Linked DNA regions of Nothobranchius furzeri. The protein of the gene in region 2 interacts with the protein of the main gene of each other region in a pairwise test. Links are inferred from orthologs where the notes say so. Each region holds a gene or a part of one and is shown on either strand. Other genes may lie near its edges.

Region 1 (8,089 bases), on a different chromosome or scaffold from region 2:
GCAGTTAAGGCCACGGGACTCTTAATTATAACGAGACATCTGGGTTCTGAATCTGTCCACTAAAAATGAATAAAAGCTAACAAATAAACTGACAACATTTGTGTAGGACGGTTTAATCGGTTCTCCTTAATCGGATGATTTAAATTAATAATAAAAAAATAAACAACAGCAAAAGAAAACAATCAGAGCTGTCTGTTGACTATACAGGCAATGACAATTGGATTTCATTTCAGCACTGACTGCTGGGAGAAATATAGCATGGCTTGCTGCTGGGCTGTCTGGTAAATGCAGACCTCATTCACTGAGACCTTTGAGTAGAGTAAAATTACCCCCACAACAATGATTTCTGCAACACAGTCCATTAAAAATGCCTCTCTACATCAGCAGCCAAAGCACCTTAAAAGCACTAGGCCATATTGATACTGAAGCGGGGCTTTGCATAATGGCAAGAGCAGCATTAGAGGAGAGGGTGGAAGGGATGGGGTGAGGCGGGGGATTGGGAGGATGAGAGGGCTGACGTGGATCTGTGTTGTGTATGTGCGTGTGTTTTGGGAGCAAGGAGGGGGATGGGGAGGTGTGTGTAAGTAGGAGAAGGTGTGGTGGTGTGTGTGTGTGGAGGATGGTTGTGGTGTTGGGAGGGGGGAGATCAGCCAAATTACACTTGGTTAATTCAGAGTAACAGATCTGGCCCCAAGTGAATTGAAGGCCTTGAATTAATTCTGATATGACAAATCAAGATAAACGTTTCCTCTAAATTGCATGCGATTTAATTAATTTCTGAGATCCTTTTTTTTTCTGGCCTAATAGTTCACGTTCTCTGGTGCTGTCACAGTGCTCGAGTGGGCAGACTTCAAAGTGATATTAAATAACCAACTATTAGATTTACCTCGCACGTTTTATTGGAAAAGTGCTATTTAATTACCTTGGCTTATTCAATTAAGGGGATGGCATTCTCTCTGCATCCGGCAGCCATGAGTAAATTAATTCTCCTTTCACCAGCAGCCCACGAAAATAATATCACCTCTGGCTTAAAACAACACAAGCCCCAGCTGCGGCGAGCTCAACTTGGGTTTGAAGTTAAAGCTTCTGACAGCTCGGCTCTGGGAGGAGTGCGTTATTCCAGGCCCGGCTGCAATCCCCGATCAAGCAGATGAGCATTTTCACGTTAACAGCATTAATATAAAACCAGAGCTGCAGCTCAAAACAGTTCCACTACTGCCTGTTGATGGGGAATCTGGCCCTTTAAGATCAAGGAGGAAAAGAGAAAAAAAAACAGCGGCAAATGGCCTTCACAATAATCCCTCGTCTATATCGGTCTTTCTCTCCTGCTCTCTCAAAAGCCAATTTGGTTAATTAAATGTTTTGTTTGCAGTGTGGCGCTTATTCATTTCGGACACGTCACTGGTAGCGGATACAAGCCAGGGACCAGATCTCATTAGATAAAACCCATCAGGACTAAAGGAAAAGGAGGGGGGCTATAATTAAAGCATTTAATTGTGTAGACTCACTGTCAGGTGTTTTTCTTTTCTCTCCCCTTACTTCTGATTTTATCTCCACAGAGATCGCACGGTTCCATAATGTGTTTTAGCTCCTCCAACAGGCATGCTCTCATTACAAGTGGAAAGGTGTATCCCACCCCCCCCCTTTCCACCCCACCCCATTTCAATTTTAATTACGTTATAGTGCCATTATGAATGAAGTACCCCATTGACTTCCCCCTGCTTTTTATGAGGTACGAGTGCAGACACACTTTTGATTTTAAACCATCTGTGCAGATTTGACAGTAGTTTCAGAAGAGTGGGTCCACCATCTGAACCATCAATGAAGATTTAACTTCAACTTAGAAACTTTAATGGACAATTCAATGTTTAGTCTAGTAAATAAAGAGCTTAAAATATAAAGGTTGTTTCAGTTAGAGATGTACAACAAAACCACCCAGCTTTCAGAAGTGGCTATAATTCAGTACATGGACATAATTTTGGGGGGGGGACAGGGGGGACATGTCCCCCCCACTTTTTCCAAAGTCAAGTTTTGACCCCTGCACTTTTTACCATCCAAAAACAATATTACGCTATATTAAATTGACACTGGTTGAGCTCTAGGACCAAGCGGAAAGCAACCGTTTGTGTTGAAGCCGGTTTCCCATTAGAACATATTGTAAAGATACCCCCCCCCCCCCCCCCACTTCTAAAGTGAAAATTACGTCCATGATTCAGTACGACTCACAGATCTGAAAATCAAAAAAAACAGATGGTTTCCATCACCGCCAAGAAAAATCCGACATTTTCCCTGAGCAGCGTTTACTTTCAGAGTCATGATTTCTCACGTTAATCAGATTATTATTTTTACTGGTATATTGTTGCTGTAGTCATCTGAGAACGGCTGTAAACGTATCTAAACTCAACATCAGCCTTTAAAACTAGAATCGATGCAGTAAACGGAAGCATCTTCTCTAAAACAGTGTTTTGTTGTTCGGCACACTCCGAAACTTTATGACTCCGATTGCCTCTTCAAGCTTCTTTAAAGTGAAGAAAGATCAAAACGTCATCGCTAAAAGTGCTGAGCAAATTCTAAACCTCGTCTTTCATTCTTGTGTAATCGGTAATCTGCTGAAAAACTTTCTGCTTTGACAACATCTCACCATGCATGACGCTTTGTGGCACCTGGAGTAAAGGTCAAGCAGCATGGTTTTCCTCCAGCCAATGCAGAAATACAATAGTTGTTTTTTAAATAGAAATAACTTTTTTTCATCCTTCTTTCACCATCTGACAAAAAAGAACATAGCTGCGTAGCTTAAACTTTGATTCAACAACATCTAGGAGAACTTGGGAGACTTCCAAAACCATCTACGGTTTCCTGTTCGTTAGTAGGCTACTTATGCACACGAGTGTTGATTAATTAGCCCAAATCTAACCTAGAGATCTGAAGCAGAATGCCACTAATCACGTTAGCGTTGGAGCAGCTGATAGGACGACACCAGATCATGAAGGATTTGATCATATTAATGCTTTACGAACACTCAGAGATCGTAATGCTGTGGATAGGGCGCAGCAAAATCCCACAAAATTCTGTTCAGAATGTTCTTTGACATAAATTTTACATTCAGATATTTTTCTTTCAGGGCTGTTTTTATATTGTAAAATAGTCGGGATGTTTTGGTTACATAAAAATATAATAACTAAATGAAAAATGAATCAAAACATAACATTACGCCCGTGCTACTTCTACATAAACACATGGCTTTCAGCGATCCTCTCACCTGATGTAGTCATTTCTGCACAGGATCATGCCACTTTTTGTGTAGCACGAAGTACCAATGTCGCCCAGCTGGGCCTGGCAGCAGGAACACTTGAGGCATCGGCTGTGCCAGTAGCTGTCCATGGTGTAGAGGAGGAAGCGATCTGCAATTTTGCCCCCGCAACCCGCACACCGTTTCCAAGACAGGGAGCCTGTGCCCACCGCTGGTGGCTGGCTGTTGCCTCCAGGATTCACCATTGTCTCTAAAAACACAGAAAAGACACGGTCAAGCCTGACTCACCCACATGGCCGGTGCTCGTGCATTTACTAGTGGAGGATTGTTTTGATTTCAGACAAAAACTATCAACATGTATTCACAGCTACGGATTTTGAATTATACCAACTAATACCTAGTTTTGTGACTAATTATTGAGTGAAACTGGTCTAGATGTCCGTTACTGTCCTGTTCTGTTGCATTAATGGGCTTCCCAGTGTCTGTTCAACTGATAACACCCATAATTAAGACTTCAGCATATATTTATCGTCTCAATCCCAGCATGAATGGCTGTAGTGAGATAGGAATTGCAGTTTGGTTCTCAACACTTGACAACTTCCAAGGCATAAAACATGTCAGACTACAAACTGATGCCCACAGACCTCCTGTAATGACGTCAATCTACTAATCTTATGCATTCTGTTTCAGCCACTAAATTAATTTCAAGTCATTCAGATGTAATCCCCACCAATTTGGTCAGACGGACTTGCAGGGATGAAGCCAAATCTTTGTTGAAAGCCAGGTAGGCCAATTAGAGTTGGGAAGAGGGATGGGGGGGGGGGGGGGGGCATTCAGTAAGCCCATTAGCGATGGCTCTTAGGGACAAACCACAGCGTACTTTAGTGCTGATTAAATCTAAAAGGAGATGAATCAAAAAAGCCGACGTGAAAGTGACTCTCTGGATAAACAGAGCGGGCTATCGTCAAGTTTCTCTAGGGGTGAGGAGGGGGGGAGTTTCTGTTTTATTCGCTGGGGAAGGATGAGAGGGGGAGGAGGAATGAGAGGGGGGGTGGCTTTTAAACTAAATGGGCCAACTCAAGTAATTACACGAACAGGCAATTTGGGCAAGTCATGGAAAAAGAAGGGAGAGAGACAGCGAGAGAAAGAGGGAGAGATGAGTGAGCGGGGCAAAGAAAAGAAAAACACCCATTCGTGCACTGAAAGCAGGGGAAAACACTTTCTTGGCGTTATTATTTTTGGGATAAATGCGTGGAAATGTGCTAATGAAGTGAATACTGGATGTGAACGCACGCGCTGCGAAAGAACGCAACATAAACCGATTAGTTTCCTGTTTAATTAGGCTGTAACGCCAACAAACACTCACCTCGTTCCCCTGGTCGACGATGCCACCGAAGTTTGACGATGAACAGGTAGGGAGGGTTCAACAGAGCCAGAAAAGTAAAACGGCTTCAAAGCGGACGCACCAACCAGCGCGCGCGCGCTCCAGACTCCAGCTCTGCGCGAGAGCACCTCGAGGACCCGGCGAGGCGAGCAAATGGAGTTATCAGATAGTATTTCCACGGGTAGGCTTCCCTTTTACTGGCACCACTTTAAAGACGACGGGATTCATGGCGAGGTGACACGCATGCCGTAATGTTCCCCCAAAGACGTGAAGAGCACGTGCGTGTTTTGGCTGAAACAAAAAGATAAAGCGTTCAGGAGACGTCGAGGCTGAAGAGGTCTCTTTCTGCTCTGGTCTGAATCTCTGCGTGCGTCCGCGTCCCGTTGGCAGCTGGTTCTACATGTGTCGCTGACAGAAAGAAACCTCCAGTAAAAACTCTCTCCTGCTGCGTGACGACAGAGCCCTGGCAGCCAATCAGAATGCAGTCAATTTGGGAGAATAACAGTTCCAGCCAATCGGAGGGAAGGGAGATAGACTTGGACACGCAGACAACGGAGGTGAGAGGGACAAGAGGAAAAACGGGGATAAAAGCAGCTCATTGACACTTAAATCCGAGATATCCAGAACCACGTTTCTGGGATTAGAGGCGATGGTGTATTTAATAACTGCATTATAAATATGAGTTTACGTAAACCTAAATGGTAAATGGGGAAACGCGAGTGCTGAGGTAACCTATGGACTAGATGCAAAGTTATACACAAGTCGTCATGGTGTTCGATCGTTTCCAAACGTGCTCCATGCTGCATGGCAACATCCAGCAGGCTGCATTCACCTCACGTCAGAGTTTAATTAGTTGGCATTCAATAACTACTTAGTTGAGGGTGACTCCAACCTCTACAGCTGCGTAGTGGCGCCATCATCTGTCACTGAAGATAATAGCAGCTCCTTTTACAACGTTAAGGTCATTGGTTTCAGCTCCTACTGAGTCTCTTTTGGCTGAAGTGCTGTAATTATTGCAATATTTGCTCATCTCGCCCTCTCTGGCATAATACAGTGCTGTGGAAAAATGTTGCTTATGTTTTTCATATAAAAGATAACCCCAGTAAACGCCAGTTTTCAAATGATATTTTCAAAGATTAAGGGGTGATGAGCTAACTGACCTGACCCTGATTGAACCCGTCTCCTTCAGGCTGGTTGCAGCACTCTTGAGGCAATGATTACTGCAGCTCTCTCTATGCAGGGTTGTGTCAGTCATCACTGTGTCGCCTTCAGGTTGTGCAGAACAGCGCAGCCAGGTTCCTGACTGGGACCAGGAAACGGGACCACATCATTCCGGTTCTGGCCTCCCTGCACTGGCTTCCGGTTTGCTATCGTTCACACTTCAGACTCCTCGTCTTTGTTTTTAATTTCTTCCAGGGTGGTGCTCCCCCCTATCTGGCCACGCTCCTGAACAGACATTCCCCATCACGCGCTCTGCGCTCCTCTGACCAAGGCCTGCTCGCTGTCCCTCGTTCTAGGTGTCGTACTCGCGGGGACCGGGCTTTCTCAGTCCTAGCACCGTCACTATGGAACCAGTTGCCACCCTCAGTTAGGCTGTCCCCATCTCTGCCAGTCTTCAAGAGTCGCCTAAAAACCCACCTCCTCCACTTGGCGTTTCCTGAACATGTTTGAATCTGGCCCTCTTTTATGTTGACTTTATCTCACAGTTTTCATGGTACGGCTCCCATCTACCTGAATCCTCTTGCAAAGGCTTACGTCCCAGCCCGGCCGCTCCGGTCATCACAAGATTGTCGGCCAGCAGTGCCTACACCACGGTCAGGACAATCCAGGCTCTTCCCATGCATCATTCCACAAACATGGAATGACCTACCAAGCACTACCAGAACAGCGGCTTTCTTTTCAATTTTCAAGAAACTCCTGAAGACCCTTCTCTTTAGAGAGCGTCTTCTAAACTAGCACCCTCCCTGCACCCGTCCCCGCTCTCTACTGTCCACTCCTTGTTCCCTCCTCTCCATGACTGATGTCAAGTTGTTGTTGTTATTGTTGTTGTTTGCCTCAAGGGCAACATGCCGATTATCACTTGTAAGTCGCTTTGGACAAAAGCGTCTGCTAAATACATAAACATAAACACCACCACCATGTTTGTAAGTGTTTATGCATTTGGTGGACACTTTCAAGTGACTTACACAAAAATGAGTCAGCAAGTTGGATGAAGTGCCTTTCCCAAGGAAACAATGGTAGAATGACTAGGAATGTCCTGGGACTGGACCAGCAACCCCTCCAAAAACTGGATGACCTTGTCTACCTCACTCAAGACACTGCTGCCACAGTTTGACTCAAACACAGTGCTGGATTTTTCTGGTAAAGGTTGGTTTATGCTTGACGCGTCCGCGAGGTCCGCACGTCTCCGCGCGGAAAAGTTGCATCATTTTAACAACCACGCCCCTCCACCGCGCCTCCGCACGGCCCAGAATTTCCACAACGCGCACCTCAGAAAATTTCTAACCACGCGGACGGACGGACGCGGAAAAACATGGCGGACCGGCAAGAACTAGTATGGCAGAGGTTCATAAATACAGACATTTGTATGATTCAGCTCTCAGAGATCACCGTGATCAACATGTTGTTAATAATTCTTGGAGAGAAATAGCTCGCACTGTCGGAAAAGACGAGGACGCTGTTAAAAATGCTGAAATGCCGTGTTGTAAACAGTAATTTCTACTTCTACTATGGTGTAGTGTTGGATGTTTGCCGTAGAGCTCCATGCTGCCCCCTACAGTTTGGGAGAATATTGGTTCACCGCAGAGACGAGCCGCATGAACCATAAACACTGCGAGTTATGAAGCGCGTTCCATCCGCGAGCCGCATCACCGCGTGGAAAGTGAACGCGTCAAGCATAAACCAAGCTTCAGACCACAGGATATTTACTCAGAAGTCTTGGGATCATCATGATGGGGTTTTTTGGCAAACATTGTACAAGTTATGGTTGTCCAATGATGCCCTATCTCTTTTATTATGTCGAATTACAACCTCTGACCTTGACTAAATGTAAAGTATCGGCGTGTACTTTGCTTTGATAGGGGCAGTACATACCTAAATCATAGCAAGCAAGAGGTATTTTTGCGTTTGAGTAAGATCTTACCAACGGATAGCCATTAGGATCAAAAATCCCTGGGAGTTCAACCTCCAGCAACGTAACAAGCACATCAGACTCCCTTTCATCACTGGCGACGAGTGAAGAGGTACATGTGTAAAACAACAACAACGTTTATGAATGGAAAAAGGTTTGTAATTGTTTGTTACAAATCAGTAAATGTCTTTTGTCCTCACGGGCTCCCATAGAAGCAAACTTGGCATCTAATATGGATAGAGTTATTCTGCTCCCCTGTATTTTAGACCTGATTTTTATGGTTATATGTTAGCTGCCAATATTTTTCTACAGTTTGATATCATTT
Region 2 (6,755 bases):
AGTCTCACTTTTGTGTTACTACAGATCAAACAAACTATTAAAATGAAAACTGTTTTTTTTTTTTGTTTTTTTACAAAAATCATGAAAAACCTCTTTGTTCCATTGACCTGAATCACAAAGTAAATCTTCAGATGGCTACGAGGCTATTGCTTGTTTTATTTTAGGATTACTCAGCTCTATGCGGTGGGATTGTACAGTACGACACCCCCACACGCTGAAATATTTATGTGTGATTTACTTTCAGTGATATTGAACAGCAGTGCATTAACTACCTGCTCAGGTAAGAATCCACAAGGTCTCTTAAATGAGAAACGTTGGCCATAAATAGATTTAATGAAGTTTCAGGTGCAGAATCGTTTGTGAGGAAAGATTTTTCTTCTACTTCTGCTTTTTATCTTGTATAAACATCATTTTAGAGTAAATCGTAATAAACCCGAATACTTTAATGATTATAAAGTATTGTTTGTTCATGAATTGAGTTTAAATTCTAACTGAATGACCGCAGTTGTTGGTTTTTAATGACAGTGTGCTGCTGCTGGGTCTCGCTGCTCACCCCACAGGTACGACTCACCTGAGCTCATGTTTCAGCTTTAAAAGATGCGATTCAGCTCAATATTTCTGCTCTACAGGTGACCTCACAGGTGCCTGGGAGTTTACTTCTCTTAACTCCTTCACTTTCCAAAGCGGCTGCTGCATCAGGTGAGACGTCATCAGCTTTCTCTACCGATTATAAAGAACCCGCTGCTGTTATTTGGTTTTGATAGACAAGGAAACTCTTTTGTAAATATATTCAGGTTTTAAAAGTAGAGCTTCTTTCTCCACAGTGCTGTTTTGGGTTTTTTGCTGCTGTTGGTCACAGTCAGACTAAAACATGGACTGTCCCTGGAACACGTCAGAGTCTGGGGCTTTCTGTCGAAGGTATAAATAAATAAAAACACCTGTCAGGACTTTTGCTCTGAGGGAACATGAGTGATGGTTACTTCTGCTTTCTCTCAGGTTTCCGCCATGGCGCTCTCACCTTTTATGTTCAACACGAATATCAACACCAAAACTCTTTTATGGTGAGTGCTTGACCTGATTATGAGATCTATTGAGTGAAAATTAAATTTTTATTTTGATTCTCGGACATCAGGCTGCTGCTTACTAATCTTTAACGTTTGCTCCGTTTTCCCCAGCGTGATCATCAGTCACCTCGGAGAGGCCCTGCTGATTTATTCTGACAGAGATCCTCAACTTTGATAACAAATCTCAACATGTTCTAAACTTTTATGTAAACAAGATATTTTTCTACCTTTTTTTCTCTAATTTCCTATCTTTTGATAAATCTGATGATTAAATAAAACCGTGTGAACACTGATTTATTTTTATATACAGGGTATCTGCCGGTTTAAGGGAGCCAAATTTAAGACTTTTTAAGGCCACTTTGACCAAATTTAAGCAATTTTTTAAAATTACATTTAAGCTATAATTTCCAGCTATTGCCTGGAACCGGTGCCAACCACGTCACGAACGTGGGATTAGCCATCCAGCTACCATTAAACTTGCAATTCCCCATGGCGCAAGTTCCCGCTAGCTTAATCAGCTAATGTGCTCATCTAAAAAGAGCCCCCTTTCCCAGCCAACTGAATGTGTACGGTTCCGCTTACGCCAACATCGTGCACAAAAATGCTGAACACTAACTAGAAATTCACGAAATTTTTATAGAAATAAAAGAATCTTGTTTATTGGGTCTTGGGTAATTTTAGACCTTCGGAAACTATTTAAGGATTATTTGTCATTTTTAAGGATTTTTAAGGCCTTAAATTTGGAAAAGCAAGTTTAAGACTTTTTAAGGACCCGCGGATACCCTGTATATAAAACCTAGGAGATGATGAAGACAGGTTCTTGGTCAGCATCAGGTTTTTATAAGTTATTTTTATTAGACAGTGTCAATGTTTGAACTCTGCAAGAGTTCAGGGTTTTATAGAGATTTAAGGGAATAATTAGAACTAATCGGTGAGGGATGTTTCAGGTCTGCTGCTGCCGTTGCTTTGGAGAGAATAAAACATTAAACGGTTGTCGTCTCCGTGAACGAGCCTGGGGGTTCGTCTCTTCCTTGATGTAACCTGTAACACAGAATATTATAAAGCTCTAGTAAAACCACCATTAGACGAAACAAGAAGCGTTCCATTACCTCGCTCCACACACGTCTGTGTCGATGGAAATCCCACTTCCCAGAAGTTTTCAGGAGTACACGGAGGAATGTGCAGATATCGGTGTCTGGAGCAGGCAGACAGCTTTTTCTGTTTCTCCTCCTCTGGCAGATGAGCGTAGTACTAAAAGGAAGCCACAACCGTGTCAACAGCACCCAGGAATAAACACGCACCGGCTTCAGGCTCTACACACTCACAACGTCACATTCTTTACAGGTGGTGCCCTTCAGTTTTCTTCTCTCGTCCTTCTTGCGGATTACTGCCACGTGTTTAAATGTTGGCCGTCTAAAGCAGAGAAAACCGTGAGACGGGTGACGATCGGATAAACGAGGTGCAGAGTGATGGTCCTTACCCAGATCTGGATCGAGGATCTTCGTCTAAATGAAAGGAAACCAATCAGGAGATGAAGGTCAAACTCAGAATATCAGTGAAATAATGTAGGTGTTCAAAATCAATCTCTACCATGCGGTTCCTCCTCTTCATCTTGCCCTTCATCCTCTTCATCAGGCCTGCTCCGGTCTAACTGGGACTTATACTCCCCATAAGCTGTTGTGTCAAACATCATATCCAAACTGTCGTTTGCCTTCTGGCCGAGTCCTGAGAAGCGAACAGACCAGACCACCATCTTGTGTTAACGGATTATAATCCAACACCTGACTGTGGTTATTTAAAGACTTGACGGTTATTTTCACCAGACTTCGTGTCTCCTCTGCTCGGACCGTCTCCTCCTCGCCGCTGCAGCATGCTGTGGCTGACCCAAGTGCAGTCCGTGTCTGCCAGGTCTCTGTGATGCCGCTGTTCTTCTATTTCCTAAAACACAAAAGCTTTTAAGCCAATAAAACAACCCAAACATCTACACATAAAAAAAGCCAAACGACCCAGAGGCTGCACCTCGTCTCTCCTCTGCTCGCTGTTGTACACGGACAGAGCCAGTGCAGGATCGATGCTCCACGCCGGCTCCACTGTGAGCTGCTCGTCGACTGAGAACCCAGACAAGTCGAGTTTAAGGAGTGAAGAGTTTGAAATCCAACAGGATGAGATAAGGACCGTAAATGATAGGATTTCACCATCTTTTGGTTGTTTGTGTGAAGCATCCTGATCCTGCAGAGGCGTTTTTTTCTTCCCATCGGTTTCTGACTTAGATTTACTCGGCGGCTTCTTGAAATCAGAACTGAAACCAGGAGCTCTAGCTTTCTGACTGGTCCCAATGTGTTCTGCTGACTGGCCCTGGAAAATAAAACACTTATAAAAACCTGCTTTAAATCATGGCTTAACAGATGAGCTCCCTGTTTGGTCATGCCTTATTAACTGGTGGCTCACAAACAGAAGTCGCTGTTTGGTTGACGTCTCTGGGATGCTCATGTTTGCCCCCTCCCTGGATTCCTGCTTCGCAGAGTCTCTGTGAAACACTTTCGTCCTTTTTGTGTTTTGAGCTGCAGACCGAGCCTTCTTCTAAAAAGCGTTTGACAGGAGGGAGGACAGACAGGGACCTCTCCGTGGTGGAGTCTGGACTGTGGGTCAGTGTGGACACAGAGGAGCGCTCGTAGGGCCTTAAACAGGAGAAACAAACCAGCAGGGAGGAGTTTTTTAGCGCATAGTCAGATAAATGCAGGCCGGCTGCAGTTGGTCTTACTTTAAATGAGCATTGTGCTTCCAGGAACTTCTAGAGGCACGTTGATGATCTGGAGCCGTCTCCTTTACCTGGGAGCAAAATGTTTTAAACATAAAAATGTCATTATTGTACGATTATGTATCAGTGATTGGTTCCTAAACTATTTTACTTACAATGAGATTGTTAGCAAGTTCAAAGCCACAGGTATCTGGGATAGCTTCCAGCACACCTTCATTCACATCATCTGGAAAGAGACAGACACCAGACAGGTCAACTTCTGTCTGATAATAGAACTAAACCAGGAGAAGTGGACATAAATAGATTGTTTCTGATCTAAAGGAATATAAATAAAGTTATATTAAATGTAAAAAAAAAAAAAAGATTATTCTTGTTTTGATTAACTTGTATTAGAAAAGACATCTTACTGGATGTCTGGGGTGCATCCAGTTCACAAGTGTTGGGCACCAGCACTTCTGTTTTCCTGGGATTCCTTCCATCTCTAGCAGCTTTTTTGTTTTGCTCTTAAAAATAAAAACCAAACCGTTCACAACAGCGGAAATACACAGAGGAAGGTGAGGTGAGGTTTAAAATAAGCAGCAGGTGATAAAAGGTGTTTTTAAATAACTGACCGTAGAAGAGCAAGTTGTCGCGCTGCCGCGGAGACATCTCTGCATATCGGAAGTGTTTCACTTTATCACCATGTTTCCGTTTCTTCAGCTTGTTTGGGACAGGAAGTGAGCTTGGCAGGACTGGTGAGTCTGGGATGAATCCTTCCTCCTGCTCCGGGCTTCCTACCTCTGAAGTAGGGCTGCTTGATTAGGAAAATAATCATCATCACAATTATTTTGGTGGAATCTGAAATCGTTACCGACTGAGTTGGGAAACACTAAAGTGCAGCAGCTTACTGGTCATTCAAACTGATGAAGGGATAAATTATGAGACAAAAAACATTTCCTCTGAACTGCTTTAATGCTCATCACCACAGCCTTACGTCTGCTCTAGAATAAAACCCACGGACACACCAGCTAATTAAACTTAATCTACCTGAACAATCAGCCACATAAAAAAACAGGCAGCACTAGTATAAACAAGCCTGGAGGCCCAAACAAGGAGTATGTGAATATAAAATGGAACAGCCGAGCCTGGAATAGAACCGTGTAGAAAAACATAACCTCTCACCAGAGAGGCATACGCGAGGCTTATGAAGACTCATGTGCTGCAGGTGTGTTTTGCCCTCATTCTGCCATCTTATGTTGCTCTAACCTTTTAAGACCTTTGAGTAAAATGTGACAAAACAATTTTAATAGTGTTATGTTTTTATTACATTATTTTTGTAATTGGAGTTAACTAAAATACAAACTGAATTATTTATATACTTGTTTGCTCTCCACACCCTCTACAGAGCTAAACCAGGAACTGAAACGTCACTGCTGATGCAGAACAAGTCTCTGAGGCAAAGCTCCTCAGTGGAACACGGCACTTATTATAGTCAGCTTTCAAATTTAGAAGAGTTCATTTTTGTAAACCAGAAGTGAAACCTCTCCAGGAGAAACAGTGTCTATCTGAAAAGTTTTACGCAACACTGGCTGCAAAAAAAAAAAAAAGAAACTAAAATGTTAACATTTGTAATAATTTTGAAACAACAACAACCCAAAAATCTAATCAGACTTTTAAGAAGAACTTACTGAGCTGATTTTAACTGTTGCAGTTCATTCAACAGCTTTCTGTTTTCTTCCTCCAGTCTGTTTCTCTCATTTTCTGAAGGAAGACAAACCGTAAACACAATTCTCACAAAGCATGATTGTGCCCAAAAACATCTTAGCTTGTGCTGCCCTGGTCTGTGTGAAACACTCACATAAAAACAACTCTTTACTCTTTAACACCAAATAATCTAGAGCTCAGATTAATCACCGGAACAAACTCACTTAGTTTTGTGACAATATGAAGGTTCTGCTCCTGGTTGGATTTCAGCTTCTCCTCAAAAACAGCACACTGATCACGCTCTGCTGCTCGGAGTCTGGGGACAGTAAACGCCAAAACACTAATGATACACACACAGTTACTTATAATAAAGTACACAAAGATGCATGATTATAACTGGACGCTATAACAGAAGATTACAAATCAGCAGGTTCTGGGATTTTCTAGGGAATGTTCAAATATGTTTATGTTTATTTATTTAGCAGACGCTTTTATCCAAAGCGACTTACAATTTATAACCTACAGGGCATGTTGTGATCTGTGGGGGAAACTGGAGTACGCGGAGGAAACCCACGCATGCATGGGGAGAACACGCAACTCCACGCAGAAAGGCCGCAGCCGAGTTTCGAACCTGCGACCTTCGTGCTGCGAGGCAACAGTGCTAACCACTGCGCCGCCATGCAGCCCATAGTCCAATAGCTGATGGGAAGAAACTGATCTTGTGCCATGAGGTAATGGTTCTGGTGGACTGTTGTCTGTGATTACAGGGCAGCACATGAAAAGGTTATTTTCAGGGTATGAGGAGTCAAGGTGAATCTCTAGTGTGCCTCAAGTCCCTGGAGACCCACAGATCCTGGAGAGAGGCCAGATTGAAGCTGGTAATCTCTACAATACCTCTGCCACACATTTCTGGAAAATTCTTATTTTTCTAGTTTGCTTGGTTTGTAAATGATTCACTTGAGACAAATCCATACCAGTCCCAAGTACAATTAATGTTGTCAACATGATGATGATGACCCAAGTGTGTGTTTGAGTCATTTACCTTTCCTCCAGAAGACCGATCGTGTCCTGCAGAGTTTTATTTTGCTCCTTAAGCTGTTGGTTGCGATTATAGAACACCTCCAGCTTCTGTGCATCTCTGTATAATTAAAACAACTTAATGAAACAAAACAATAAAGTGAGGGAAAGCGTGCCCTACTAGTGAACAAAAGCTGATACTCACAAGCAGCGGTCCTTTTTTAACTTGCTTA

The links.
Region 1: the proteins of rbbp8 (region 2) and lmo4b interact in binary tests that used the Homo sapiens proteins (3 or more experiments, as listed by UniProt). The link is inferred for Nothobranchius furzeri from reciprocal best matches to the Homo sapiens genes RBBP8 and LMO4.

What each region holds. Positions count from the first base shown.
Region 1 is NC_091756.1:59,557,974-59,566,062, forward strand, and holds the start of lmo4b (LIM domain transcription factor LMO4b), read right to left. Parts: upstream 4,846-8,089; 5' UTR 4,617-4,845; intron 3,501-4,616; 5' UTR 3,496-3,500; coding exon 3,260-3,495; intron 1-3,259. UniProt on the Homo sapiens protein: Transcription cofactor. Plays a role in establishing motor neuron identity, in concert with MNX1, acting, at least in part, to disrupt LDB1-LHX3 complexes thereby negatively modulating interneuron genes in motor neurons.
Region 2 is NC_091747.1:41,222,589-41,229,343, forward strand, and holds the end of rbbp8 (DNA endonuclease RBBP8), read right to left. Parts: coding exon 6,728-6,755; intron 6,644-6,727; coding exon 6,548-6,643; intron 5,822-6,547; coding exon 5,730-5,821; intron 5,563-5,729; coding exon 5,490-5,562; intron 4,616-5,489; coding exon 4,434-4,615; intron 4,326-4,433; coding exon 4,230-4,325; intron 4,049-4,229; coding exon 3,978-4,048; intron 3,894-3,977; coding exon 3,826-3,893; intron 3,743-3,825; coding exon 3,493-3,742; intron 3,420-3,492; coding exon 3,260-3,419; intron 3,173-3,259; coding exon 3,084-3,172; intron 3,003-3,083; coding exon 2,885-3,002; intron 2,790-2,884; coding exon 2,655-2,789; intron 2,570-2,654; coding exon 2,545-2,569; intron 2,478-2,544; coding exon 2,390-2,477; intron 2,316-2,389; coding exon 2,174-2,315; intron 2,106-2,173; coding exon 2,008-2,105; 3' UTR 1,895-2,007; downstream 1-1,894. Other genes in the region: UDP-N-acetylglucosamine transporter TMEM241 homolog, read left to right, coding at 245-280, 526-560, 630-699, 825-918, 997-1,061, 1,176-1,239. UniProt on the Homo sapiens protein: Endonuclease that cooperates with the MRE11-RAD50-NBN (MRN) complex in DNA-end resection, the first step of double-strand break (DSB) repair through the homologous recombination (HR) pathway.